Elephas maximus indicus: one gene and its partner. The protein of the gene in region 1 purifies or fractionates together with the protein of each later gene. This does not show direct contact. Links are inferred from orthologs where the notes say so. Each region holds a gene or a part of one and is shown in the gene's direction. Other genes may lie near its edges.

What was found.
Region 2: the proteins of LLGL2 (region 1) and PARD6B purify together in Homo sapiens (affinity purification with mass spectrometry; 7 studies listed by BioGRID and IntAct, counting the BioPlex papers as one, with this or other methods). This does not show direct contact. The link is inferred for Elephas maximus indicus from reciprocal best matches to the Homo sapiens genes LLGL2 and PARD6B.

Annotation. Positions count from the first base shown.
Region 1 is NC_064837.1:65,821,694-65,836,331, forward strand, and holds the start of LLGL2 (LLGL scribble cell polarity complex component 2), read left to right. Parts: upstream 1-8,598; 5' UTR 8,599-8,932; intron 8,933-9,182; exon of another isoform or gene 9,183-9,292; intron 9,293-9,996; exon of another isoform or gene 9,997-10,095; intron 10,096-14,638. Other genes in the region: TSEN54 (tRNA-splicing endonuclease subunit Sen54), read left to right, coding at 835-890, 1,012-1,176, 1,272-1,335, 1,422-1,505, 1,812-1,910, 3,206-3,258, 5,092-5,193, 5,391-6,016 and 3 more. UniProt on the Homo sapiens protein: Part of a complex with GPSM2/LGN, PRKCI/aPKC and PARD6B/Par-6, which may ensure the correct organization and orientation of bipolar spindles for normal cell division.
Region 2 is NC_064843.1:18,915,950-18,931,274, reverse strand, and holds the start of PARD6B (partitioning defective 6 homolog beta), read left to right. Parts: upstream 1-9,065; 5' UTR 9,066-9,439; coding exon 9,440-9,505; intron 9,506-14,628; coding exon 14,629-14,851; intron 14,852-15,325. UniProt on the Homo sapiens protein: Adapter protein involved in asymmetrical cell division and cell polarization processes. Probably involved in formation of epithelial tight junctions.

The DNA of each region.
Region 1 (14,638 bases):
TTCCGTAAAGATTAAAAAAAAAAAAAAAAAAAAAATTTACAGCCTTGGAAATCCTACAGGGCCGCTCTAGTCTGTCTTATACGGTTGCTATGAGCCGTCGGCAGCGGGTTTGGTTTTGGGTTTAATCTGTACGGAAGGCGTTCTGGTGGCGCAGTGGTTAAATACTTCGCTGCTAACCAAGGGGGCAGCGATTCGAACTCATCAGCTGCTCTAGGGCAGAAAGATGTAGCAGTTGGCTTCCATTAAAAAAAAAAAAAAAAAACCCCAAAGATTCCAAAAACCAAACCCAGTGCCGTCAAGTCGATTCTGACTCATAGCGACCCTATTGGACAGAGAACTGCCCCACAGAGTTTCCAAGGAGCACCTGGTGGATTCGAACTGCTGACCCTTTAGGTTAGCAGCCGTAGCACGTAACCACTACGCCACCAGTGTTTCCTCCATAAATCCTCCGGGACAATTCTACTCCGTCTTATAGGGTCGTTTTGAGTCGGAATCGACTCCAAGGCAACAGGTGTGGTTTCATATTTTAATCTTTACAGGAGCTGATCGCCAGGTCTTTCTCCCACGAAGCCGGTGGCGTGTTCAAACCGCCAACTTTTCGGCTAGCGTCCGAGCGCTTAACCGTCGCGCCACCTGCAAACGCTCGGCTCCGGGACTCGAGGCACACGTGCGAAGCCGGCGCGAAGACTCAGAATAACCCCGAAGGCAGAAGCCGGGTGGGGGATGTGGGACTCCCGGAACCGACGCTGCAGAAGCCGGCGCTAGGGCCGCGCGGAGCTCCGGGGGTGGGCGGGGCATGGGCGGTGCGCGCGCACAACCGCAGATGGCGGCCCCATGGAGCCCGACGCCGAGGCAGCAGATGTGGATGTTCCTGCTGGGCGTGTGCTCAGGTGCGAGCGGCCGGGGCAGGGGTGGGGGGCCTGGGGTCGCCGGGGGAACGCGGGGAGGAGAACGGGCGGCCGGGGCGGGCGGCCGGGCCGCGTGGCGCTGACCCACGTCCCTCCTCCCCAGCGCCCGGGAGCTGCTCGCCGCCCGCGCGCGGCCCCAGAAGCTGCCCCAGCGCTCTCATGGCCCCAAGGACTTCCTTCCCGACGGCTCGGAGGCCCAGGCCGAGCGGCTGCGCCGATGCCGCGAGGAGCTCTGGCAGCTGCTGGCCGAGGAGCGCGTGGAGCGCCTGTGAGCGGTCGGGCGGCCGGGGCGGGGTGGGCGCGCGCTGGCGGGCTCTGCGACTCTCGGGTGGGCTGAGACGACCCCTCCCCACGCCTTGCCAGGGGCAGCTTAGTGGCCGCAGACTGGAGGCCAGAGGAAGGCTTCGTGGAGTTGCAGTCTCCTGCGGTGAGCGGTGGGGATGGGGCAGGGGACCCGCCTTCTCTGCCCTCCTGGCTCTTCTGTGACAGACGCTTTCTCTGGGCCTCATGCAGGGTAAATTCTGGCAGACCATGGGCTTCTCACAGCAGGGCCGGCAACGGCTTCACCCCGAAGAGGCCTTGTATCTGCTGGAGTGTGTGAGTGGGGCCCGGGAGGTCGGGGAAGGATTTGGGACCAAGGAACCCAAAGGACACGTTGGGAAAAGTATACAAAACTGAGTTTCCAAGGAGTTTGTAACCTGGCTTCAGGAGCAGGAGACAGAGTGCCATATAGAGAACAGGGGTTCCAGACCAAATGAGTGCCACAGACCCCTTTTCTGGGTTGGCCGTATTTTTGTAGTGATGTTGGGGAGAGAAGGCATGGCAGAGCCAGGAAGCTACCCCATTTGGCTGTGCCAGTGCAGAAGATGGCTCACAGCCAGAGCTATTGTCCCCCTCTTCCAGGGCTCCATCCAGCTCTTCTACCAAGACCTGCCGTTGTCCATCCAGGAAGCCTACCAGCTGCTCCTGACTGAGGACACTGTGACTTTCCTGCAGTACCAGGTATCTGCCACCCTCTGCAGAGACAAAAGCCACTCATCTGTCAAGTCAGTGAATATATATGCAAGTATTTACAAGTAACTACAAAGTGCAAGGCACAGCGCTACATGCTGGGGCCCCAAGACAAACAAGCATTCTGCTCTCATTGTGCTTACATTCTAGTGGCGCCAATTTGATAATAAGTAAACAGACAAATGAATTATTCACCTCAGAGAGAGTTGAGTGCTAGATAGAAAATGAAGCAGAGGGGGACAGTGATAGAGAGTGGAAGATGCTGATTTAGACTTGGAAGCCAGAAAGGTATCACTAAAGGGCTAACGTCTAGAGAGAGACTTGTTGAGAAGGAGCAAGCTATGCAAAGATTTGGGGACAGAGTACTCTGGGCAGAGGAAACAGCAAGTGCAAAGGCTCTGAGACAAGGCAAGCTGGGGTGGGGGCAGGTGGTGTGGAACATAGACATGGCGGCTGGCACAGTGTACACAGGGAGGGGGACATGGGGTCAAGTAGGCAATTGGATACACAAGCCTGAAGGGCAGGGGAGGTCAAGGCAAGAGACATAAAATGTGGACTTCATGAGCACATGGATGCTATTTAAAGCCACGAGACTGTATGAGAGTATGGCAAGTGTAGAGAGCTGGGTTTCAGACCTTGAGCTCTCCAACATGAGGAGGCTGGAAGAAGGCTGATGGACCAGAAGCAGACTGAGGAGTGTTCGGCAACAGAGGAAAAACCAGGAGAGGTGGTGGCATAAAAGCCAAAAGAAGGTCTTTTGAGGAGGAAGGGGTCGCTATGTCAAAGGCTGTAGAGTTCAAGCAAGATGAGGGACATCCCTGGATATGTCCCTTTAACATGGTTACACAGACACGAGGACAAACATGTGGCTCTTCAGAGACCACTCCCACCCCACCCATGTCTGGAGGTGGGAAGAATGTCCACCACTTTCTGTCATCTTGTCTAAGTCATAGTCAGGAGCTTCATTTTTGTCAGCTTTGATATCAAGTTATTCTGGGGCATGGTTCTTTTTTTGGTCTATTGTTATCAGCTTTTAAGTCAAACTACTAAAAGTCCTTTCTTCCCAAAGTAAGATAAGTGAGGAGGACAGGAATTCAGAGGTGGAGATCCAACTTTGGGAAGTGTGTTTATAATGGACTGTGGCCCAACCACTACCAGGGTTTGGAATCTGCACGTGTGCAGGAGGGACAGGGGAGGGGCCTGAGAAGTAAGTGGCTTCTGTCTCGAGCAACTATTTGGTGTTTTCAAGAGGAGACATTTGACCTAAATCTTTTCTTTCTTTTGAGGTCTTCAGCCACCTGAAGAGACTGGGCTATGTGGTTCGACGATTCCAGCCAAGGTAAATCCCCATCCCTTTTCCCTTCCATTCAATCTAACCCTGGGACCCAGCTGCCTAGCCCAAGGTGGGAAAGTGGCCTCTACCTGGAATCCTTGCCTGGAGCTCTGGAACCTTCCCTGGACATGGGTTGACCTCTGCTGGAAGAATCCGAGTTATTTCAATTTATCAAATTAGGACCCACCTCAGCTGGCTCACTCCACTGGTGATGACGAGCACCTGCCAGGCATGGCAAGCTTGGAGATGTGGCCCTGAGCAGTGCCCAGCACTTAGTAGGTGTGCCGCAGATTTGTTGAGTGAAGGAAGGACTGAGTGGGGAGTTTAGAAGGATTTCACATTTCTTATATTAGGCTAGATGGTCTTTTCTCGTGTGGCCTCTGCAGATGACCCCCTTAGTAATCTAGTACTGCTAGGAGCCACAGAGCCCCTCAGACTTGGAGCGGCAAGTGATACAGGCTTTGCAGTTTCACAGTCTGTGACAAAAGCTGTGCAACAGGCACGTCCTTTGATTTCTGAAAGGAGAGTATACCCTAAGGAAGTAATCGTGATGTGTGCAGAGACTGATGGTGAGAACGTTCATCCATTCATTCGTCAAATGTTTACTGAGTACTTACCGTGTATCAGGCCTTGTGCTAGGAGCTGAGGACACAGCACAGAGCAAAATCTCTGCCCCCATGGAGCTTGCGTTTACTGGGGAGCTAGCACAGCACAGCATCACTTCGCAAGGCTAGTGAACTTAGAAACAACCCAGGAGTCCAACAGTGGAGACATAGTCACCTACATTAGAGTTGATCCTTCAGAGCAGCCCTGCCTGATAAAACTTTCTGCAATGATGAAAATGGTCTCTACCTGCGCCGTCCAATGTGTGTGCCTTATGCATCCACAGAACTAAATGTTTAACTTCATCATAAGCCAAGCCAAACTTGTTACCTTTGAGTTAATTTCAACTCAGCGAGTTTTTGTAGCGACCCTATAGGACTGAGTAGAACTGCTCCATGGGGTTTCTAAGGAGCGGCTGGTGGATTCAAACTGCCGACCTTTTGGTTAGCAGCCAAGCTCTTAACCACTGTTCCACCATAGCCACTTGTGGCATATTGGGCAGTACAGCCTTAGAACAACAACAAAAAAAAAGAACAACCCACGCCAGAGAAGAATGCTGTGGCGGTGAGGGGCCGTGTTTATATGACACAAACCGGTAAGTACTCGACAACTGGCTGAAAGGTTGGTGGTTTGAACCCACCCAGAGGCTCCTTGGAAGACAGGCCTGGTCATCTGCTTCTGCAAGGTCGCAGCCTTGGAGCGGTTCTGCTCCGCACACACGGGTTCACCGTGAGTCAGAATCCACTTGATGGCAACTAAGAATAACAAAATGCTAGAACAATGTCATTTGTATTAGAAAAAACATGGAGAGAGAAAAACACATGGAGTGTGTGTGTGTGAGACACAACGTTAACAGTGGTTATCTGTGATTTTTATTTTCATCTTTATTTTCCTGTATCTTTCAAGTTTTCTAGTTTCTCTTGGTTTTTGTCACAGTGATCATTTCTTGCTGGCTCTGCAAACTCATTACCGTCAAGTCAATTCTGACTCATAGCAGGGACCCCAATTCCAGGGAACCCTCTGTTCAAAGGTGGCACTGGTGAGGCCCAGAGGCCCAGGCAGAGTGGCATGGCTAGGCCCTGTGGCTGCTCCCATATGTCCTGAGTGCAGGTCTGCCCAGGCTCTGTGGCTTTAGGCCCCGCCCCCCACTATGGCCCCATGACTTGTCCTCTCAGCCCCATCCCCTGCCCAGGCAGAGAAGGTGGATCTGTGACCCGCCCCATCCTCTCCCCACAGCTCTGTCCTGTCCCCTTACGAGAGGCAGCTGAACCTGGATGGCAGCGCCCAGCACCTGGAGGATCGGAATTGCAGGAGGAGGAGAAGGAGCTCCAGCTCTCAGTAATGCTCCCCCTGCCGCTCCCCCAGCCCCCAGTGAGTGGTGGGGGTGCTGAGCTGTTGGGGGAGTGCTGATGTTTGAAGCTTCGGCAGCTCCTACGGTGGCTCGGGGTAGACAGTGGGGCACCTGTCCCTCCCAGCACACACTGGCATGTGTGCACATCAGCACAGCAGCTGCCTTTCCTCCCCGCATCCCTCAGGTCCCTTCCCAAGAAGCCCAGGACCCTGGAGAGCCCCCTGCAGGAGGTGAATGGGACACCTGAGAGCCAGGCAGCCTCAAGCCCATCTCCCTGCGGCTACAACAGCCCATGCCCAGAGGAAAAACCCCATGAATCAAGCCCTAGAAAGGACCCTGAGCTTCTAGGGTCCTTGGAGCCCTGGCCTGGCCTGGCCAGGGACAGGGTGGAATGCAGCCAAGAGAGTGGCAAAGTAGAGAATGGAGCCATGGAGGTTTGTAAGCCACGGTGGAACTTTGAGCAGATCTCCTTCCCCAACATGGCTTCAGACAGCCGTCACACCCTCCTGCTTGCCCCAGCCCCAGAGCTGCTTCCAGCCAACATCTCTGGGCGGGAGATAGACGCCGAGTCCTGGTGCCAGAAGCTGAACCAACGGAAGGAGAAGCTCTCCCGACGGGAGCAACAGGCAGGGGCCCGGCACTTCCGGGAAGATGTCAGCATGGATCCTGAGGTGCAGCGCTGTTCCAGCTGGCAGGAGTACAAGGCACTGCTGCAGAGGCGACACCTGCAGAAGACCCAGAGCTGCCCTCCACACCTGTGGGACCAGCCTGTCACCCCCTTGCTGAGCCCTGGCCAGGCAGACTCCCCAGGTACCCCCACTGTGCCACAGCCCTGCCAGCACTGGTAGCGGAGGAGTCACAAGACTTTGAAAGGGGCGTGGGTTGACCAGGACTGAGCCAGGCTAAGGAGGATGGGGGAAGAGACTGCCCGGTGGAGTGGAACCCACAAGGACTGTCTACTCCAGGGCAGCAGCAGAGGGCTCAAATGGGGACATTAGAGATGGTTGGTTGGCGACTGAGGAGAGGCGAGGAGGAATGAAAACTACGACCACGCTCTTAAAGTCATAAACTAGATACAAGATGAATGTGATGGCTTCGCCACCAACCAGCTGGGCCTCCCAGTCTCATCAGATTGGAAGCGGGAGGCGCCATCTTGGCCACATCGAAGGCTTACTTTCTGCTCTTGTTGTCAAGTATAGGGAACCCTCAGGGCAAGACTAGCCCTGGCTGACTGCATTAACGGATTTAGAACGCCTTAAAATCCTTATGGGACGTAGAAGATTTTAAGGGACCAGATTAGGGCTGCCAGGTAAAATAAAGACATCTTGTATTTTTATTTGCTAAACTTTTTTTTTTTTTTTTTTTTTTAAACCTGGCAATCCTAAACTAGCTGGCAGATTCAGAAGTGTTGAGAGATTCCATAAATGGTTGACTGATCTCCAAACCTTTGTTTTCACTGTCCTTGTAGCCGCGGTCCTACAGCATATCTCGGTGCTGCAGACGACACACCTGGCTGACGGAGGGGCCCGGTGAGTTTGCATACAGCAAAGTTGGGCATCAGTTGGGACTCATTCCAGGGCCCCGTACCCACCTGCCTCGCTCTGAGCTGAGCAGCATCTGATGTTCGCGTGTGTCTAGCAGGAAGGGAGGAACCACAGATGGGGTGGATTTATGCCAAGGGTTCTGAGGTAGGGCAGCTCACCTCCCCGCTACCCCTCATACCTCCCCTGGACCAGGCTGCCTTCTGGAACCAGTGGAGGGAAAAGGTGAGATGGAAAGGTGGGCAGGAGAGTCCCTGTTTTCTGAAGGTTTCTTACTCTGTCCTCAGGCTGCTGGAGAAGTCGGGGGGCTTGGAGATCAGCTTCGACGTTTACCAGGCCAGCGCTGTGGCCACTTTCCGAAAGAATAACCCTGGCAAGCCCTACGCTCGGATGTGCATTAGTGGGTACGAGACCAGCAAGTGTGTACCACTCCCGGTTCCTTGTGAAGCCATGTGCACCTTCTCTTTACTCCCACCCCTGGCCAGTCCGAGAGGAACCTGAGCCCAGAGAGGTTAGACAGCCTCCGTGTGAGGCCACACAGCCTGTCAGTGCTGTTGGAACCCAGGTTTGCCAATTCTTAGCTCCTCTTGGGATTTAGGGGTAGGCTCTCTCCTGAGTCACTTTAGTCCCAGGCTCCCCCAGCAGAAGGAATGAGAAGCAGAGGGATTTACAGGCTAAGAGTGGTGAGAGCCTCCCTCTTCTTAGCCCCCTCCCCAACCAGGGCTCCGGTTCCTTTTTGGAGCGCTTATCAGAGCCCCAACCAGGGCTCCGGTTCCTTTTTTGGAGCACTTATCAGAGCCACGCTGCTTGCAGAGAAGGCAGGCCAGGGGCCAGCATTCTTGTACCCCCAACCCCGGCTGGGGTCTCAGAGCTCACAGGTGGGCTGTGCCAAAGTCTCAGTCTAATCCTTCTCCCTGCAGATTTGACGAGCCAGTCCCAGGCCTCACCACCCTTAAGCGGTTGTCCTACCAGAGTGGGGATGTCCCCCTCATCTTTGCCCTGGTGGATCATGGTGACATCTCCTTCTACAGCTTCCGGGACTTCACACTGCCCAGGGACCTGGAGCAGTGACCATGCAGCTCCTCTCTCAGGGAAAGGCTGGGGCCTGTGCTTCAGACCTGGACTGTCTGCTCTCAGGGACTGTTCCAGCATCCTGTGCCTGGAGCCACAGGAGCCAGTCTGTGCCCTGGCCCTGGTGTGTGATGCTTGCAGGAGAGCGAAGCCTTGCCCCTCTGCCTGGCCACTGCAGCGCTTCCACGCTCCAAGCCGGAGGTTCCTGCTTTGCAGTGACCTCCTTGGGACTCAGGACTAGATTTCAGAGACCCAGCAAGGTGAGGCAGAAGAGAGGACTCCGTGCCTTTAACCCAGAGGGTGCCTGCTTCATGCGATAAAGCCAAAGCCATTAAAAAGTTAACTCTTCCTGCTGTGGCTGGATATATTGGATGAGGCAACTCAGTCCAGGCCCCGCAGTGCTCCCCTCCCCCACACGCTGTTGCCCGCGGGGCTAACACAAACACACGAAGAGCTTGCTCTGGTGCGGGACCTAAAGAGTGAGGGAAGCCAGCGGGAGGCCGGAACGCGTCCCGCCCTTTTCGGGGATGGGAAGTCACAGACCTCTAGCTGGCTTGGGTTTCCGAAGGGTAGTTCGAGGAAGGAGTCCGGGGCTTAGCCGGGTCAGGGTAGAAGGGTGGCCTTGTCGGTGAGGTTGGAGCCCTAGACGCTCCGAGGGGCCGCCTGCAGGCGCGCAGAAGACGCGCCCCCTTCTCGCTCCCTAGGCCTCGGGCCGGGCTTCCGCGTCCCTTCCGTTCCCGCCCCTCGCCACTCCACTGCACTCCAAGCCCTCCCTCGCTGGTGCTAAAAACTCCAGCCGCTGCCCCTCGGTGTCGCGGACCCCGCCGCCACTACGACAGAGTGGAGGGGGTTCTTAGGGCCCTGTCCGAGGGGAGGTGCCTCGCAGCAACGTCCCCATAACCGCTCCGGGATCCCGAAACCTGTCCCGCGTCCTCGGGACGCGGCTCTGATCGGGCTGGGCCCTCCCTCGGCAGTTGGGCCGGGCTGTTGGAGGGACGGCTGCCCTCTGGAGTCGGGCCGGGAGGTGCCCCCGGTGTCTCCGCGCGTTCCGGGAACTATTTCCTCCTCTGGAGGCGGCGGGACACGGGGTGCGGCGCCTAGTCCCGCGACGCAGGTACGCGCAGGTGAGACCGGGGCGGGCCAGCGGGTATCGTGCATATTCACGAGCCTAGCCCCGCCCCGGGCCCTTGGGGCCGGCGATTGGCCCGAACCTGGCCCTGCCCCGCGGCGCCCCGGCTGCACCCTCGCCCGGTCATCGTAGGGGCGGGGCGGGGCGGGGCGGGGGCGGGGCCGGGCTCCGCGGGCAGGCGGCTGGCTCTTTATGTAAATACGGCGGCTCCGCCCTGCCCGCCGCCGGAGGTGAGCAGGAAGGAGAGGCCGCCAGCAGTCCGTGGGCCGGCGCGCGGAGCGAGCGGGGCCGGCGGCGGGCGCCGAGGACGCAGAGGCCTCGGGCGGGGCTGGCGCGGGGTTCCAGGTGAGACGCGGAACCGGGACCCACCTGGCCGGGCCCGCCCCCTTGGGGCGCCCGCCAGAGGGGCGGGGAGGCCGGCGAGGGCCGAGACCCCCGGGCTTCCCAGGCCGGGCGGGGAGGACTGCACCCAGGTCCGACCGCCGCGCCCTAGCGCTGGCTCCTTTGGGAGAAAGACACCTGTAGAAAGTGCCGCCGGGAACTTCTCTCTGCCTAATCCTCCCTCGATGACGGAATCTGGGTTTCGGGTTTGCACAATAGTGTTGGCTTTGGGGAGCAGAGAAGCAGGTGCCCGGCCCGGCTGGGTGCGGGGACACTGCAGCGGAGACGGGGCCCCCGGGTCTCTGACCCCAAGTGCAAGACTCCTGACCGGGAGGTCGGCGAGGCGCGTCTCCGGTTGGCCCTCTGTCCCCGAGCGGCGGCCGGAGCGCGTAACCTCGGCGGCTTAGCCCCTGCCATCTGGGCCCGTTCCCTCCCAGGCCTTTGTGCCTCCTAATCCCCGGTCGCAGGAAGCCCGCCGGAGGGACTTCGGTCTCAGGGCCTTTCTCCGCCGGAGGCGGTTTTGGACACCTTTAGGCGGAGACCCGGTCTGTTTTCCACGCCAGCCGGGGCGGGGATTATTGCTCTGTGGGACATTCGGACTTGGCGAGGGGTGGAAAATTCTGCCTTGCCAAAGAAAGCGTGCAAAGTTTGTTCTTGGTTTGGTCCAGCTGGACGGTTCGTGGACAGATTGGGCCTTGGCTGTGGAGAGAGCTGAGCGTAACCAGGGGAGCCGCGGTATGGCCTCCTGAGGCCCTCACCTGAGACAGGTGAGCTTTGGGTGAGGCGGGCAGGGCTTAGATTCAGCGTCCCCTCCCGTGGGGATGCATGTGCTGATGCAGGGCTTCTGCGACCAGGCTCTCGGGACCGTCTGCAGGAGTTTGCAACTCAAGATCCAATCGTGCTGTGGAGGGGATTCAGAGCAGGGAGGGAATGGGCGTGTCAGGAGGACAAGGAAACCCGAGTGGGAAGAGCCCAGGAGCAACGCTGGAGAAGTGCTTGGCCCAGCCCAGGGGGAACCAAGGTCGAAAGTGGCCTTTGAGAAAGATCCTAGATGCGTGTGGGCTGGGCTCAGCTCCGGAAGGGACCTTGGAGAGATGTTTTCGCTTCCTTTATTTAGTGCATGTGGGACTCAGGTTTGGTTTGCTTAAGTGACCTGCCTGTGGCAGCCAGGACCCAACTCAGCTCTCGGAGCCCTGCCCTCTTCACCGAGTTTTGGTTGAGCCAGTCTGTGGGAGGCCACCCTGGGCCCCCAGTCCTCCCTGAGACAATGGAGCATAGGAGAAAGCTGCCCTCATTTGGTGACAATTAATAGTTGTGTTTCTTTAAGTAACCAACACTTGTTTCTTCTGTTTTTGTTTGTTTGTTTTTTATGTATTATGTATATTAATTCGGAAACCCTAGTGGCATAGTGGTTAAGTGCTACGGCTGCTAACCAAAGGGTCGGCAGTTCAAATCTGCCAGGCACTCCTTGGAAACTCTGTGGGGAAGTTCTCTGTACTGTAGGGCTGCTATGAGTCGGAATCGACTCCACGGCACTGGGTTTGGTTTTTTGGTGTTTTATACATCAATTCAACAGTTTCCATGTGTACAATTCAGTGACACTGATTACATTCTTTGAGTTGTGCAACCATTCTCACCCTCCTTTTCTGAGTTGTTCCTCCGCTACGAACATAAACTCACTGCTCCCCTGAGTTGCTGTTGTCAGTTTGATCCCATATAGATAGATCTTGCTTGAAAGAGCACAATGCTCAAGGCAGGCATTTTTTACTACTTAAGCTGAACTATTGTTTGGCTTAGTTGTGTTTTTAAAGAAATAGTAGCTTTTAAAAGCTGTGATAAAATGTACATAACAAAATTTATTATTTTAAAGTATACTATTCAGTGGCATTTACTACAATCAGCCGTCATCGCTGTCTGGTTCCAGAACATTTTCATCAGCCCATTAACACACACAAACAAAACCAATTTATGGTGACTCCTTGTATTCCAGAGCAGAGCTTTGCTTTGTAGGGATTTCAATGACTTGTAACCTTTGGAAAGTAGATCACCAGGCCTTTCTTCTGAGGTGCCTCTGGGTAGATTTGAACCGCCAACCTTTCAGTTATTAGTCTAGCATTTAACCATTTACACCATGAGAAAAGGCTCATAATACTAGATGGTCCCTGTTTATTTAAAAAAATCAAAAAGGTAATAGAAGTGCATGGCAGGAACAGTCAAGCATTATATGAAAGTATAAAATAAGGGAAAATAATTCTCCCTCAAACATACCGTTCATTAAGTTTTTTAGCATCTTGCCAAATACCAGGGGAGTTTTGAGTCGTGGCCTGGCTGGTGTCTTGCTGTGTGCCCTTGGCTCAGTCACTTACTGTGTCTGCCTCAGCGAGCTCTGTTTGTACACATGTTGACGAGAGGGTGAAACATATCAGGAACACGTGTGGCCCAGCACATAGCCAGTAAGGCTGAACTTCACCCTGCAAGCCTTTGGGCAGCTCCTGTGCTTTTTGGAGTTGCCTGGTGTGTTGTGAGGGAATTTGGCTTCTCCATCCGGGGATCAGCAAAGAGGTTATAATTTTGTGATCTTTGAAAGCCTCTGGAGCTCGAGCTTTTTAAATCAGGACATTGTTCCTGGGGGGTGGGGGGCAGAGGTAGATGGCAGTGTCCTCTCTTAATGTCATATATGTCCCCACGGCCCTTGCCACTTCTGCTCCTTGGGCTTCTGACCTGTGGACCCTGGCTGGGCCCTTCTTGCTGAGGCTGGAGGTAGGGAGGAGGGTGTGCAGAATCTCCAGTTGGCTGTGTGCACTGTCTGTACCCTGTCTTTTTTTTGGGGGGGGGGGTGCTGGGTGGCAACAAACCCCTGTGCCGCTCCATCGTCATTAAGGAGATTTTTGGGAACTCCGTAGTGCCTGCTTTCAACCTCGTTTAGGGAGGGGGTGTCCTCATCTGAGAGGGGGGACTTCCTGCTCCCAGAACCCTCCCATCACTGTTAAGTGGTGCATGGAGCTGGAATGTTGGGAGCCTCTGCCCTCATTGTGACCCCTGCCTGCCCCACTGGGGACACTGAGCATCCCTGGCAGAAGTGTCCAAGAGCCGTGTGGGGAGGCTTGGTTTCCTGGGGGATTATTCAGCCTTCCTGGGCTTTCTAGATGTGCCAGAGGTAGCTGTTTGAGACACCTGGGTTGGGGACCCATGGCCTCTGCTACTGGGTTGGCCGCTTTAAGCAGCACTGGCCATCTGGACACACTTACCCTGAGTACTCAGCTCCCAGTTATCTTCTTATCTCATTCGGGTGATACAGTTATCAGGGCTCCTTCTGAGTCGAGGCAAGCCGGGTCTGCTTGGGGACTTGGTTTTCCTCTGCCCAGGAGTAGGTCACAGGGAAGAAACGGGGTGAGGCCAGGAGATGGGCTTTCCCCGATGGGGCCACCAGCACTGCTTGCCCTTCCCCTGGAGACACTCCCCATAGCCCAATGCCAGGGCCTTGGCCAGCTCCCTTTGGGGTAGCCTTGCCTCTGAGAGGAAGCAGGAGTCACCCCACTCCTACCCCTTCCCAGGAACCACAGTGAATTCTTGAGCTAGGAGAGGCTCACGGGGTGTGGGGTCAGGGAAGCTCCCAGGCACCTGAGTCTACCCTTCAAGAATTCAGCAGAGACCAGAGTCTTCTCTGAGTCTCCTGACCCACTGTCCCAGGGTCTGGCAAGAGGGACATCTGGGTACGGGACGGTGACTCTGGTCAATAGTATTATTTTGGGATTCACCTTGCCAAAGAGTTACATGTCCTGGAGCCTCAGTCTAAGTGAGGCAGGGTCCACGAGGGTGCAGGTATCCCCAGCGTGCGTCCAGTGGCCTTTGGCTTGTCCAGAGTCTTTGAGAACAGAGTGGGCAAGTACCCCGCGGGACTGTGTGGAACCCCAGCCCAGTGCTCTTTGCGGCCAGTGGCTTCTGACGGAAGACCTTGTCTAGTTATTAATCCTAGCTGTTCATTTCAATAAGTATCTATTTGTGCTTCTTGTGTGCAAGGCATGGGATAACCTGTAAACAGAGCCAACATCTTTGCCCTCATGGAACTTACATTCTAAAGTGAGTGGGAAGTGTGAGCCTAAATAAAAAATAATGTGTTAAAAGCATTGTGAGCTATAGAGAGTAAGGAGATCTAGAGCAGAGAATTTGAAACTCCCATGGTAGGAAACCCTGGTGGCGTAATGGTTCAGACCTAAGGCTACTGAAAGGTCAGCAGTTCGAATCCACCAGCTGCTCCTTAGAAACCCTGTCCTATAGGGTGGCTATGAGTCGGAATCGACTCGACGGCAACGGTGTGGGTGGTAGGGGGCAGATTGTAATTTTGCAAAGTGTAGCCAGGGTGGGCCTCATGCAGAAGGTGACCTTTGAGCAAAGACTTGAAGGAGGTGAGGGGGCTCTTTAAATAGTATTTGAGTGTTTCCTGTGTTTCAGGGTCACGGAGCTCTGGGGACACAACCATGAACTAGGTAGGCACATCTGTCCCCCCTGAAGATGACATTTTCTAGAAGCTCCTTGGGACAGCTGTTCAAGTCTGGGGGCAGGTAGGAGGGCCCACCCACCCCAACCTCAGGCAAGTTGGCCTTTTTTCCCAAGATTGGCTTTGCTTTTCCTCACAGTTAGCCTCACCCAATTGGTCACTTCCCTGGAAAGCCATTCGTGTTGTATTGCAGAAGGGACCTGGGACCCCAGAATGGGAGTGGGGAAGTGAAGATTCATGGGGAGCTGGGGCTTCACTCCAACTTCCCCACCCCATCCTCATGGGCCCAGAAGTGGCAGCAAGGACAGAAACCATTTAGGAGCCTTGAGTGACTCTCCCAGGGTTGTGGGGTGGGGCTGTGGTAGAGGTGGAGACTGATCACCAGGCCCTCCCTGGGCGGGTGAAGTTTGTTCTGGCTGCTAACTTCAAAAGGTCCGTCCCATCAACCTACTGTTTGTTTTGTTTTTGTGTGTGCATAGGTATATACATATATATGTATATATATATGTGTGTGTATATATGTATACGTATACACACATATATGTATATATATATTTCACTGTGGTAGACATGTAATAACACAACTTTTAGCATTTCAACCTTTCTTACCTGGACATCATTCATCATATTGTGCAGCCAGCACCACTATCCATTTCCAGATTTTCCCACCACCCTTAACAGAAGCTCAGTGCCCCTTAAGCAGTAACTCCCCCTCAACCTAATCTCAGCTAGCCCCTTTGTCCTGGGAGAGAGACCCGAACTGAACAGATTGGGGTTCAAATTGGGATGTGGCCGCTTCCTAACTGCTGGCC
Region 2 (15,325 bases), on another chromosome or scaffold:
AAACAGAATGATGTCTCTTTTTCAAAGGCAGAAACATGTGTAAGCCAATCATTTAAATTTGCCTGATCCTATAAAAGGCAGTATAGAAGGGTGGGGGCTCTGGAACCTACCTGCTTGAGTTTGAGTACCAGGTCTGCCACTTATCTGTGCAACCCTGGACAAGTTATCAACTTCTCTGTGCCTCAGTTTCCTTATCTATAAAGTAGGGGGGATAATGGTACCTATGTCCATAAGTTTTTGTGAAGATAAAATCGAGTTTGCCAAAGACTGAGGGGTTTCTGAGGATGCGGGACTTTCAAGGTTGTAAACGGGGATGAATTGATCACTTTATATAAGAAATGCGATGAAGAGATTGTACGTGTAAAACCCTTAGAACAGCACCTGTACGTGGTGAGTCGATTTCGACTCATAATGACCTCTAGGACAGAGTAGAATTGCCCCTTAGGGTTTTCAAGGAGCACCTGGTGGATTCAAACTGCCAACCTTTTGGTTAGCAGCCGTAGCTCTTAACTACTACGTCACCAGCGTTTCCCATCCAGTGCTGCTATAACAGAAATACCATAAATCAGTGCCTTTAACAAACAAATTTATTTTCTCATATTTTAGGAGGCTAGAACTCCGAATTCAGGGCGCCAGCTCCAGGCAAAGGCTTTCCTCTCTCTGTCAGCCCTGGAGGGGGGTCCTTGTCTCTTCTGCGCTTCTGCTCCTGGGTGATTACCATGTGGCTGGGCATCTCTCTTTCCCCATCTCAACCTACCAGATTGTTTACTCTCTTTTATATCTCGAAAGAGACTGACTCAAGATACAGTCTACACTAATCCTGCCTTGTTAACATAACAAAGACAACACATTCCCAAATGGGTTTATAACCACGGGCATAGAGGTTAGGATCTACAACACATATTTTGGGGGGCCATAATTCAGTCTATAACAACATCCTAAGCAGATACACACACAAAACAAACACATCGCCATCAAGTTGATGCTGACTCAAAGCAACCCTATAGGATAGAGTAAAACTGCCCCATTGGGTTTCCAAGGCTGTAAATCTTTACAGAAGCAGAGTGTTGTATCTTTCTCCAGTGGAGCGGCTGGTGGGTTCGAACCGAAGACTTTTCAGTTAGCAGCTGAGTACTTAACCACTGTGCCACCAGGGCTCATTCACACACATATACACTCACACAGATACACACATACACACACTCCATTTATTTTCGACCCACTGCACCCTGTCTGACAAGTTGCCAACATTTAAAAATAAGGAAGTCTCATAAAACTGTCCAGCCTCTCTTAGGGAATCAGAAGACCTGCCCAGTATGGGGCCTGCAGTCACACAGCCACAGCCGCACAGGCTGGTGGTGAGTCCTTACACGGGGCAGGATCTCCCTGTCCTCTGCAACGCCCACCCTGCCACATCCCTCTTTCAGTTGCCAGCCTGGGCCATGAAACCAATCACGTTTATGACACACACCGCCCCCCACCCTCACCTGATGCACTTTCTACTGTCTGTGCAAAGTCAGTGTACTCACCAGCATCTAGCATGCACCTGGCACGTAGTTGGGGTGCAATAAATATTTGCTGAATGGATGAGTGAATAATTGAATGAATGGATGCCCTCCCTCCTCCCTAAATCCTATTGGACACACCACTCATTTTGACATTTAATCACACCCTTCCTTGAAAGATTCACTAATTTGCTGCCCCCAGTGGCGACCACCTCAGTATATATTATTAAAACTCAAATCTGATCTCTTCATTCCCCAGCTCTAAGCCTTCAGGAGAGTTCCAGCACCACACAGCCTTTGAGGCCCTAACTGAGCAGGTTCCCACCTACTTTTCTAGCCCTCATCTCCAGAGGGAGCCCCCATTGCACACCCATGCCCCACCCAATCTCTGACCACACAGGGCTTTCTCCCCACCCCCACTCCTCCATGTGGAGCTCCCTGGAATGCCTTTTCCCCCGCCCCAACTGCCTCTAGCAAACTCCTACTCATTCTTCAGACCTAGCGCCAACCAAAGTCACTTCACCCATGAGACACTCCAGACCCCCTGGGGCTGACTTAATCACTATCTTCTGGCTCCCACCCCTCTCTTTCATACCCTGGCCTTAGCACCGAGAAATAGCTTAAAATAGCAGCTGGTGTCTTCTGGGCCCTCGCTGTGTGCCAGGCACAGAGCAGGCTTTATAGAATTCATTCCCCACACCCATCCTGAGGCCCAGCCTGGAGGGTCCTCCGGCCCCAGAGAACACATGGACCACTTTCCCATCTCCAACTTTCCAGAAAGCCGTCCCTGCCACCGTATTTGAACATTTTCTTCCTCCCTCTCCACCTCACTACTAGGCCTCCTGGGCCCTCTCTTGCTTCCTTTTTCTCCAAAGCTCTTATCACCATCTAACACATATATTTGAATAATTTATTTCTGTATTCTGTCTCTGCCCACTAGAGTGTAAGCTCCACAGGGACACAGGTTTTGGTCATGTCTTTGTCACTACTGTATCTTAACATCGAGAGTAGTGCCTGGCACATAATAGGCACTCAGTAAGTACTTACTAAGTCAAAGAAAAGCCGTTGCCATTGAGTCAGCTCTGACTCATAGTGACCTTATAGGACAGATTAGAACTGCCCCATAGGATTTCCAAGGAGCAGCTGGTGGATTTGAACTGCCGACCTTTTGGTTAACAGCTGAGCTCTTAACCACTGTGCCACCAGGGCTCCAAGTCAAAGAAGGTAAGTATTATTACCATATTCATTTTGTCCCTGAGAAAGGTGGGCTTTAGAGGTGAAGACACATGCCCAGAGTTCTACAGTGGGATGGTGGTAGAGCTAGGATGTGAAACCCACCCCTCCTCACCATGGTCAATTCTAACATCCACTCCCTTAGGTTGCTGGGCCCACCACCTCTAGAGGACATGGGGTAGTTCTCTCTTCATGGTCTGACTTCTCAGCTAGACTGAGTTCCTTGAAGGCAAGAATTCTGTTCTATTCACATTTGTACCTCCCTGTCTGATCCTTGGTAGGCACTCAAGGAATGTTTGCTGAATCTATCTGTATGTGGAACATGAAGTGCTGACTGGTAGGAATCATATCTCTGTTCTTTTTTTTAACTTTACCTCTACACTAAGCATGGTGTTATATACACAGCTGGGGCTTCATAAATACTTGATAAATTAATGACTACTATTTTTTTTTTATCATGGCAGCCCACCACCATCTGTCAGTTTATCATACTATAGTGACTTGCATGTTGCTATGAAGCTGGAAGCTATGTCACCGGTATTTCAAATACCAGTAGGGTCACCCACGATGGACAGGTTTTGACAGAGCTTCCAGACTAAGACAGACTAGGAAGAAAGACCTGACGATCTACTTCTGAAAATTAGCGAGTGAAAACAATATGAATCACAACAGCATATTGTCTGACACATCGTAGTGCTGGAAGATGAGCCCCCTAGGTTAAAGACACTCAAAATACACAGTGGTCACATCAATGGACTTGAGCATACTAATGATCATGATGATGGCACAGGACCAGGCAGTGTTTCCTTCTGTTGTGTGTGAGGCTGTCATGAGTCAGAGTCGGCTTGAGGGCAACTAACAAGAAGAACATTATGTTGGGTAATGAGGATAATAAAAAGAATTAAACAGCAATAATGACAATAACAAATAACATTTATGGAATCCTTACTCTTTTTGGGTCCTATTCAAGTCCTTTTATGTGAATGAAGACAATTAATTATCTTATCATCTTTATTTGACAGATGAGGAAATGGAGGTTCAGAGAAGTCAAGAACCTGCTCAAGTGCACACTGCTAGTAAATGGAAGAGGCAGGACTTGAATGTAGGCATTTGGCTGAGTCATGCTCTTAACGACCACTCTAGGCTGCTTTTCAGCCTAAGAGAAGATGTCCATTAAAAGGCTGCCCTGCGTGAAAACAGTAAGAATGGTTTATTACAAATTTCCATTTTATTTCAAGGAAGTTTTTCAGAAGCTTTGGTAGGCGTGATAGTTAAGGTTGTGGGTCAACTTGCTGGGCCATGATTCTCAGTGGTTTGGCAATTATTTCATGATGTAGTTATCCTCCATTTTGTGATATGATGTAATCACCTCCAGGATGTGATCAGCCAATCATTTGTACGGGGAGTTTCATCAGGGGTGTGGCCTATATCCAATATATATAGATGATGTGGCAAAGCTCACTGGCTTTTGCTCACTCTGGATCCTGTATCCAACTTGTCATCATTTGACCTCCGGTTCTGGGGACTTGAGCCATAGACCTGCAGAATTGCCTGACACATCTTGGATTCTTCAGCCTCCACAGCCTGTGAGCCAGCAGCCTGCCATCTTACCTACTGATCTTGGACTCAACAGCCACCATAGCCCACAAGCCAGCAGCCTGCCATCTTAGCTGCCAATCTTGAGTTCTTCAGCCCCTGTAGCTATGTGAGTCAGGAGAAGCCTCCAGCCTGACAACTGACCCACAGACTTGGGACTTGCCAGCCTCTATGACTGTGTGCGCCATTTCCTTGAGATAAATCTCCCTCTCTCTCTTTCTATATATATATATATATATATACACACTTCACTGATTTTGCTTCTCTAGAGAACCCAGCCTAAAATAGTAGGCAACATTATTTGCCAAATAATAACCACTAATATTTGTACCTCACTTTATGGCTTGCAGAGCAGTTTTGTGTATAGTTTCTCATCTGATCACCACAACAAACCAATGAGGTAGGCATTATCTTGTTTTATAAAAAAAAAAAAAATTATAGAGGAGGAATATGAGGCTCTGAGCAGTTAAGGGAACAAAGTCAAGGTCACCCAGCCAGCAAGGAGCAGAGCAAGACCTCAAGTTAACATTTATCAGCTTAAAAAAAAAAAATTAATCTGCCTGCCTCCAAATATAAACAACCTTCATACTACTGAAAATTAAATGAGATAATCCATGGAAAAGTACTTAGCCCAGTTCCTGGCACTTGGTGAGTCCCTCATAAATGTTAGCTATCATCATCTTTATCAATACCTTGTAGGAACTGGGATATTTTGGTTGAATACTGCAGCCTGCATGTTGACCTTGACAGAAAGATTACTCTTTTCATTTCAGTTCATCCCTGGTAATGTTGAAATAACGATCAATCTCCATTATCCCTGGGGTACCATAGAATGTTAAGAGCTGGAAGGGTTTATGGAGATGATCTCATCCAGTGCCTGTACTTTACAGACAGAGAAATTGAGTCTCAGGGAGGGAAAAGGTCAGAAAGCAAACCTGTGGCTGAACCAAGTCAAGGGTAAGACACACGCACAGAGCCCGGCACCTACTGCCTCTCATAAAGATAGGGTTTACCCGAAAGTGCATTTAGCTTCTTCAATCAGGAGATAATTCATTAGTTTCCGTGGCTGTGAGCACCACCAGCCAGGCCCCACACACAAAGCAGTAAAGTATTATGAGGTATTGACGAGAAAACAGATCATGTGATTTAATTCCACCTCTGCTAAAGGGCTTAAAATGCTTTGGTGAGTAGTATGAGATTCTAAGTATACACTTCAACTCTTTCTCAAAGAATTATTAACTAGCTCCATCAAAATGAGCTTGAGCAATCAAGGAGAAAAAGAGCTGGCAAGAGGAATTCCTTGAAAAAAATTTCACCAACAGGATATATGACTTTTCGCCATCTCTCTCTCTCTCTCTCCTTAATTCTAAGCGTTGGAAGAGGAAGGAATGAAAAAGGTATTATGTAAGATGTGAATTACTAAAACTAATCGTGGAAAATTACAACTCTTGAGACTTCACAGTGTAGGTTTCAAATGAACACAACAGGATATTTGTAGAACTTAAAGACAGAAAGCATTTAAAGGGAAGATAAAGCAGAGGGGTAAAAACGCTCTAACTTCATTCAGAGGGTGGAGATGGGCCAGGGAAGCCTCACGGTATGTGGGTGAGGTGATTTCTGATAGCCCACTCCCAGCTAACTACTTTGTGAACCTATAATTTACAGTCCATAACATCACACACTCACCTTACTTATCTCCCTAACCCACTGAGTATTAATCTCCCAGGCATGGGACTAGCTTTTCATTCCACACACAGGTCTTGATCAGCTTTAGCTTGAGGATTTGGGGGTGGGGAGGGATGATGGAGAGAAATAAGATTAGGGTCAGTCTCAAACCATAGTAAACAGGAATATAAACCCTTCTCTATGCTGTTTCTCTGGGTTTCCCAAGAAAGGCTGGAATTCAGGCCCTGTGAATGAACTTGTGGACATACCAGCTCTAGGAATGAACGGGCTCCCCTCCTTCACAGCACCTTTATCAAATTCAAACTATTTTCCACATTCCTCCTTTACACAACCCAAGCGCACTTGTGACGCAGACCTCAGAGCAAACTCTGGCCTGGCCCTTCCTTCTAGAAAGGAAAGTCCAAGTAAGGAGGGATACCACACCCGGGGGAGGGGAGAGAGGCATGACGACACCTCCAAGAATGCAGAGCCCACGCAGGTGCGTTGGCATCTACTGACTTCCTTTTTAAACGGCCTGATAAATCAGTACTGATAACAGTAATAAAACTCAACCACCCAACAATCGCCCACACAGAGCTAGGGCCCCCCGCTCTTAGGGCGAGGCCCTGCCAAATAGAGAGAGAAGGGTGAATGCTGTGAATGAAGAGCCCTCAAGGTGGTGACGTAGCTTCTAGTCCGTGGTTCTCAAAGTGTGGTCTAGGGACCCTTGGAAGTCCCTGAGATCTCTCTGGGGATTCACAAGGTCAAAATTATTTCCATAATTGTAAGATGTCATTTGCCCTTCTCGTCATCCCCCATTGACTCACAAGCACACAATGGAGCTTTCCAGAAGGGACAAGACATGTGCATCAACACTCTGATGACTACAGGACTGTGTGCTTCTGTATTCCTGTGTTTTAAATACTTGTTTTAATCCTAATAAAACAAATATTGATAGACGTAACACACACAAAATATTTTGGGGTCCTCCATAATTTTTAAGTGTATAAAGGGTCTTGAGATCAAAAAGTTTGACAACTGCTGTACTAGTCCAGTTAAGAGAGTTACAGTTTAGGCCCTGAGGCTTCCCCATGGTGACATCACATCTTTATTTCCAGCTCAGCTTGAATCACATGAAAAAACCCACTGCCATCCGATTCCGACTCATAGCGACCCTATAGGACAGATATGAGTAACATAGTAGGTACTTTTGAACAAGGGGGTGAAAAGGCTGCCTTATTATTATTCAGCTTGGGATGGTATCCTTTCCATCTGTACCTCCACCCAGAAATGCCCATGAAAACGTTAAGTTCTGTACAAACTTTGCGCAACTGGAACCTCCACCCTCCCATGAAGAAAGACGGGCTTCTTTCTCACCCTGTAAACCAAGGTGGGGCAGTTAGCATACAGAAACCACACTTCTTCAGCCCCAGCACCCAGCAGAGATGTATCTGAGTACCTGCTAGAGTCAGGCATTGTGCTATACCCTCAACAGTGAGAAAAGCAGATGTGGTTCCTGCCTTTAGGGAGCTTTCATTTTAGGGTGGAGAAGATTACTCATTAAAAAACTCAAAGGCATCTAAAAAAAAAAAAAAGGCAAGCTGAAACTGTCACAAACTCTGGGAAGAAGAGGTATAGGGCGGTAGGAGCAGATGTGTTAGGCCCCCAGGACTCAGCTGGAATGAAGCATGCTAACCAGGCCAGCTCCCCAAGACCCTCTTCTTGACCTCAGGTTAGAAATCCCTGTTCCAGAAGGACTGAATTGTGAGTTCCTGCCTGATCTTTCTTCCTGGCCTTCCATGGTTAACATTTGTCAGTCTCAGGAACACACACCACACATTGTGTCTGTCACCAGATTGGGCTGTGACTACAAGTCGCGGCATGGCTGTTCCCTACTCTAGCTCACAAGAAGTTCAACAGCCCTTCGAGAAGCAGCAATCCTACGGCGGGCCTTGGTAGCCCTTGCGTAGGGGGAAAACTTCGTGAGGGGGAGACTTGGGGAGGGGGTCTTCTCCAGCCATAATTTTCAGAGGGTCCCACCTTCCCGGCCTGGCTAATGCTAAACAGGGTCTGCCTGGGAAAATCCCAGCTCTGGTGCATTTAGAGAAAAGGATACGGCCTTTCGTTACTCAGGGACACAGCTCCGTTGCTCGGGAAACACACACAAGCCAGACGCTGTCATTTGGGGAAACAGCAAAATGGCCAAGAAATGGCTTGAGGTGGGAAAAGGGAGCCTTCAGAGGTTAAAAAGAGAAACAAACCGAAAAAAAGCGCAGAAGGGTCGGCCTAGGAAAAGCCCTCGGAGGCTGGGCCCGAAGAGAGCACCTAGGACTTGAGCCCACCTTCCTTCCCTTCCCGGCGCCAATTCAGTGCTGGGACCTGACGCACTTAAAATGGTGCAGGGCACAGAAACTCTGTTCGACAAGACCCAGCCCCGAGGGCCCTGAGGTTCACCACCAGTCTCTCCTGCAGAGGCGGGAAAACTTGGCTTTTGCAACCAAGAGTTGCATCTGGACGCCTAAAAGACGCAAACAGGAGGCCGAGCGTCGATTTGAAGCTGCGACAACCCAAACTGGCGGCGGGGCAGGCCCGGCGGGAAGCTAGCGGCCCCGCGGAGCCTCAGCGTGGTCGACCACCCGAGTCGGGGGAGTCGGCGCGCGTCCCGCGGCGCGAGCTCCCAGCGGGCCCTCAGTAACCAGGCGCGCTCCGGCGCACCCGCGCGTGCGCAGGAGGCCCCCCACCGTCGCCCTTCTCCAGGTGCGCTCGCGCTTCCGGCCGGCCTTCTCGCACCCTCCCTGCCCTGGGCGGAAACTCCGTGGCCTGCGCATGCGCCCCCCGGCTCTCCTGCTGAGTCCAGAGGGGAGGCCCCCGGCTCCAGGTGATCCCGCCCCTCCTTCGCAGCGCTGGACCAATTACGCCTCGGTGGGCGGAATTTTCGAGTAGGCGGCCCGCCCACGAGCTGAGCGAGGCGTGTATCGATTGGTTGGCGCCGCGGGCGCAGGTGCGCGCTTCCCATTGGGTGTGGGCGGAGCGCGGTCTGCAGAGCCTTTCGGAGGCTGCAGGTGAGCGCGCGCACTGGGCTCGGGGACGCGCCCGCGGGCTCGCGGCGGAGGCTGCCGGGAGCGAGGCTGCGGCGCTCGTCGCCTCTGCTCCGCCCCCTCCTCCTCCTCCTGCATCGTCGCGGCCGCCGCCGAGGCCCGAGGGAGGGAGCCGCGTCCCCGCCCTCCGCGCCGCCAGTCCGACCCTCGATCCCGCCGCGTGAGGAGCCAGCAGAGCGGGGCTCAGGGCGAAGACGGGAGCCGCCGCCGCCCCCTGTGCAGGTGCCAGTGAGGAGGCTCCGGGCCACAGCCGCCCCCCCAGCCCGCCCGCCGCGCACTCGCTCCCCGCTCTCCTGTGCGGTGGCCCGGCCGGAGGAGGCCGCCGCGGGCTCGGCGCTCAGCATGAACCGCAGCCACCGGCACGGGGCGGGCAGCGGCTACCTGGGCACCATGGAGGTGAAGAGCAAGGTGCGCGGGGCCCGGCAGGGTGAAGCGGCGGGGCCGGGGCCGGGACACGGGGAGGCCAGAGCCGGGGGCGGAGGGCGGCGAACGCGGCTCGGGGGAGGCGAGGGGCCCGGCAGGGACCGCCTGGGGAGCTGCCCGGTGCCTGGGACGGCGGGGTGCGGGGTAGTGGGACTTGGAGACAGGCGGTGGCGGATAATAAACTCGCTGAGAAGGGGACGGGCGAGGGCTTGTATCTGCTCCTGGCCCTGATAGGACGACCCAGTGGAGCACTTAGTCTCAGTCCTGTTCCAGAATGAGAGTGAGGCCCAATCTGTACCCGAGGATGCGGAGGCATTTGAGTACAGTGTGGGAGGAAAGGTTTGGGGGAAATTCTGCGTACTGGGTTGACGAGTAGAAGCTATTTGGAATATCCCATGGTCATATAAAGTTACCCCTTCGTGGCTCAGGGGATCATCCGGTGGCAAAGGAAAGAGCCCAGTGTACTAAAGAGCCCTTTTCAAGTGAGCTATGTTTCCTGCAAGGAATTTTTCTAGCACTAACTTTGGTATGCATTTAATCTGTAAAATTTGCACTATCACCTTACGTTTGAGTGGTACTTTACAGTTTGAGTCTGGATGCTCTTTTCATTCCGTCGTTCTACCTTTTCACATCAAGTGCTTTCACCCTTGACCTACGAACGGTATGCCAATCTGGGGATAATTACCTCCGTATCAACTGAATTCCTAAATTGCAAGGCCGGGCGAGCAGGACAGTCTGTAGGGATTAGTTAAGGAATGCTTTCCAAAGGGGGTTTTGAACTGGAATTTGAAGGTGATCGGCAGCTGCGGGAACATTTTCAGCAAGCATTCCATGAATTGAAGAGCCGAAAGGAGTTTAGATCATCTAGCCCCATTCTCGTTTTACAGATGAGAAGACTGAGGCTCAGAAGGGTTATGACTTTCCCAAGCTCTGGTTTTGTGATAAAACCGTAAAGCCTTGATTAAAGCTGTTTCAGAGAATCACTTTCAGGCACTGCAGAATACAAAAAGTTCACTCGCTAGGCCCTGAGCACATTTAGAATACAGTTGGGAAGAGCAGAACACAGAATAGAAAAATAAAAGCATATCACCTTCAAAAATAACGAAGCACGTTGAATGTAAAACTAGTTAGAATGCACAATCAAGAAGCCATTTGAGCGAAGTGCAGTGGAATTAAGGAAAGTTTCCAGGAGCCTGTGGGTAGAATAGTTTTTATTGTCTAGGGCTGATAAACACAGTTCTGTAAGTTGCTGTAACTGAGAACCACATCAAGAATATGTAAATGTGTTCATTTTTAAACTTTATTTGCGACTTTAAGAACTCACCTATCAGGATAGGCACTAGTTTAAGGAACCGTTCTGTAATTATAAGCAATTTAAGAAATAGGTTCTTCCTTGTGTCCTCCTTGGAACCGTTGTAGCACATTGAAGTGGCTTGCTTGAACTAAAGGGTTAAGATGACTCAAAATCTGCAGAGCTTTTCCTCTAGCAGTCTGGTGGTGGTAGTGTCCCTGCCCATTGGTTGGGCTTTCTCGTCCCAGATTTGTTATAAATGTAGTTTGGGTTTGTGGGAGTTGAGGTTAAGAAAAGAAAAGCACTTGTGATACTGCCTAATCTTAAAATTCAATTTGTGGTCTTAATCTTGGTGGTGAGTCTTTAGTTTTTTATCTTAGGAAAAAATGAGTAGGGATTTGATAGTAGGGCTCAGTCGAGGTGCACTGATAATTACAATGAAAGTTATTTCTGGTACTGGGAAACTTTGAACACTTGGGAACTGGAACTTCAGGCTTTTTGCTCTTCATTTGTGAATCTTTCATATACTGTGGCCAAACTATATGTTGTGTGTCGGACCTGCCATAGTACACGTCTTTAGTGAGCCGGATCTCTTTAACAGAATCAAGGCATCCTGAGAGCCGGCACTGAATGAAGTGGTCCCACTGTTATTCTGGCTGCTGGTAACTCGGCATGGCACACAGGGACATGTAGTATGTCTCTGACACCTTATGTTTTAAATATGTGTTAAATGAAGCAGTTGTCATCTTAGTCATCAGAGATTTAGTCATCTGGACATATTTTCGAAACAGTATTTCCTTTTACACTGCTTTAGTGCTATCTCAGCTTTTTACAAACTGATCACTAAGCTGGTAAACAAAACTTGGTAGTGTGCAGACCCACGCTTTAGGATTTTTTTCTTCAGCATTGAAAACAGTAGCTTCAACTTTATTATCTTCGCTCATGGAGAGAGAAAATGGTGCAGATAAGAAAATAACGGACGGCGCAGAATCACTAGGGTGAGATTGGTGATAGTGCTGCCATGTGATTTTTTTCCTTTGGTAACTGATTTATCTTCCTAATTGCTTCTCCAGAGTTAGGAAAGTTTTTAACAAACACAATGATGTCCTTCAACCTTGGAACAGTGTTTGAACCATAAAACTTCCTAACTGTTAATTATGTTGTTGTTAGGTGCCATCAAGTCAGCAACCTTGTGTACGACAGAACTAAAGAAACACTGCCCAGTCCTGCACGATCCTTGCAATTGTTGCAGCCACTGTGTCAGTCCATCTTCTTGAGGGTCTTCCTCTTTTTCATTGTGACTCCTGGGCAAACAGAATATTAACATTAGGTTTGCATTTCTGGAATGCCATCTGATGCTGGGGAAGGAGAATCCTTACACATTCAGGATGGCCAGGACAGTTCAACTTACAGTGACCCTTTAGGACAAGGTGGAACTGCCCCATAGGATTTCCAAGGACCTGCAGGCGGATTTGAACTGCTGATCTTTTGGTTAGCAGCGGAACTCTTAGCCACTATACCACCAGGGCTGCTAGAACAAACTCATAAAAATTTGTTGCCGGACAAACTCCCACCCAACCCATAGATGGGGCTAAAAAACAGTTGTAAATAAATGGTGCACACAGTGAATAATTCCTTTGTGAATAGTTGCTGATTGGGTCTGAATTTTAACTCCTAGTATTTACTTCATGTAGTAAAAAGTTCTCTTAACCTTTTGTTTTGCTGCAAGAAGCATAACGATTTCTGTTGTTTTTTTCCTGCCAACATTTGCAAAAAGGCACAACTACTGTGAAGCTGTACAGTTTCCCATTGTTTTTAATCATACCATTTTAGCAAGAGAAGAACGTAGAGCAAAGAATTTTCATGCAGAGCTTTTGCAAAAACATCGAAGCCCTAAAATGTTCAATTACTAAATGTCATTCCCATTTATAGTCTCTGGGTGGTACAGATGGTTAAGTGCTAGACTGTTAACCAAAAGATTGTGGTTCAAACCCACCCAGAGGCACCTGAGAAGGAAGGCCTAGAGATCTGCTTCTGAAAGGTCACGGCCTTGAAAACCCTATGGAGCAGAGTTCTGTTGTGCACACATGGGGTCCCCATGAGTCAGAATCCACATAAGGCAACTAAGAACAACAACATTCCCATTCATGTACCAGAGGAAATGATAAACCCTGTGGGTGAGTCAGAAAGCAGTAGGGATTCCACGTTGTGATGCCAGAGTAAAGAAGATGCGGAGAAACCGTGACTTTTGATAACATCAGAAGACTAACTCTGATATGAAGGGTGTTCCCTGAGTGTTTGTTTATTTTGAAATGTGAAGGTGTGACTAAACTTTTTGAGAGCTTTAGGTATGAGTCGCCTTATTTTCTTGATAAATGTCAGTGTTTATGTTTCAGCAACGTGTTTTGGAAACTTTTAAATTTATTAGAGGGAAGAGGTGGTTTTAGTGTGTTTGAATTTTACTTTAAAATGAGCGGGTAGTTTGGGTATAAGCAAGGAGGATGACCAGCAAAAGCAGTGGATCCAGATATCCTGGAGGGCCCTTGGGAAAATGAATTGACATGTTGGTAAACTGCTGAAATTATTCTGGTAGGGACTTTCCCCACATGGTGCTTAAGGCCCTGTCTCAGGGGTACATTAGAGTTTCTTACTAACAATAGATACTTAGAGGGAAAACGAGTACAGTGGTCAGACACATTTGGGAAGCATTTGCTTAAATTTTTTTTAAAAAATCAACTCTGGGAGTTAACAGCCTTTAATATGCTGGTTTGCACAGCCATTCTTGAGACGGTGACTGTGTAGCATTTCCAGAATTTAAGTGACTGGGACAACTTTTTGAGGAAGGCTGATGAGCCTTTCTTAGGTTTCCACATTTGAGGAAATGCCATGGTAGTCCCATAGAGAGTTATAAATCGTGCTTATTATGGACTGGATGAAGCCAGTCCTTTGTGTGTCGAATAAGCACGACGTTAGTGATTTGGCAGTTGGAGACAAGTGGTGTGATTCTGGAGTGGGGAAGCCAATCTGAGTGTCAGAACTATGAAGAGAAACATTGGGTATGATGGAGGTTGCCATCCTCCCCATTTGTGTGATCCCTTAATACCTCTATGGTGTAATTATTCTCTTTACCCACTAATTGGTGAGTTTCTGGAGCAAGCTTGAGCCTTGAAATCTCTAGGGCCTAGCTTTGTGCCAGCTACATAAACATTTGTTTCTATAATTGGATAATTGTAGGGCATATATTTGATATATTAGTGAAGCTTCTTTTGGCTTTAACATAGGGAAGATGCTTCTTAGCTCTAGGCCTATTTTTTATGTACCTACCTCCGATAGAATAGTACCTTATGCCAAGGAGCTCAAAACCCTTTTTGTATATTTTGCTATTAATCCATGCCACATCCTGTGAAATCGTAGTTCCTTTTATGGGGGAGGAAACTTAGATGCTTTTTTGTTAATGCTCAAAGTAAGGACTTGGGCACATCTCTGGTACCCTGTGGCCTTTGTGAGGAGAGTACTGCTGTCAGGGTGTGGTCTGCAGACAGGGTTTGAGCTGAGTCACTGTGCTGGAACGTCCCCAGAGAGGCAGGTACCCCAGGGATTGAGTTGAACTGCTTCTCTTGAAGGGAACGCCCCTCAGAGCTGCAGCAGTGAGAGGGTACCTTCCTGCGCCTTTCTTATGCAGGTTTATCTCCTGCTAATGAAGTTTCTCTGACAATAGACTGTTGCTTTAAGGGGAATACTGTTTGTTAATATTTTTACGGCATTTTCTGTTACTTATGTTTGTTTTTTGAACTTTACATGTTTGTTGTATTTATAGTTTGGAGCTGAATTTCGTCGTTTTTCACTGGAAAGATCAAAACCTGGAAAATTTGAGGAGTTCTATGGATTACTGCAACATGTTCATAAGATACCCAATGTTGACGTTTTAGTAGGCTATGCAGACATCCATGGGGACTTACTACCTATAAATAACGATGATAATTACCACAAAGCTGTTTCAACAGCCAACCCACTGCTTAGGATTTTTATTCAAAAGAAGGGTAAGTACCACTGTTAATAAAAATTATTTTAGAAATAGAGGTAGTTTGTTTCCTGTTGGTAGGATACACAGACTTTGCCACAAACTTACTGAATAAACATTTTGTGTGTATCTTCTTGCTGTGTTAACTAACAAGTGGGTTAAAACATTTGTCATTGTTGGTTCAGTTAATATCTTTACGTTTCACTAAGTGTACTTTAGAAAATTTGTGTTTTTAATTACTACTTTTAACCTCTTAGGTTCTTTATATAAATTAGGAATTTATTGAATCTTCATTTGATTGAATGGATTATTGCCCATTCAGAAAAATGGTAGAAATCATATGGCTTTGGAGGCAGAGAGACATTCCAGCTTTTTTGGTGGCCGCTAACTTCTAAATCCTATATTTACTACTTAATAAATATGTGGAAGAAAGTTATTTAATCTTCCTCTGTCTCACGGACTGTATCTATAGAAAGACTGTAACACCATAGAG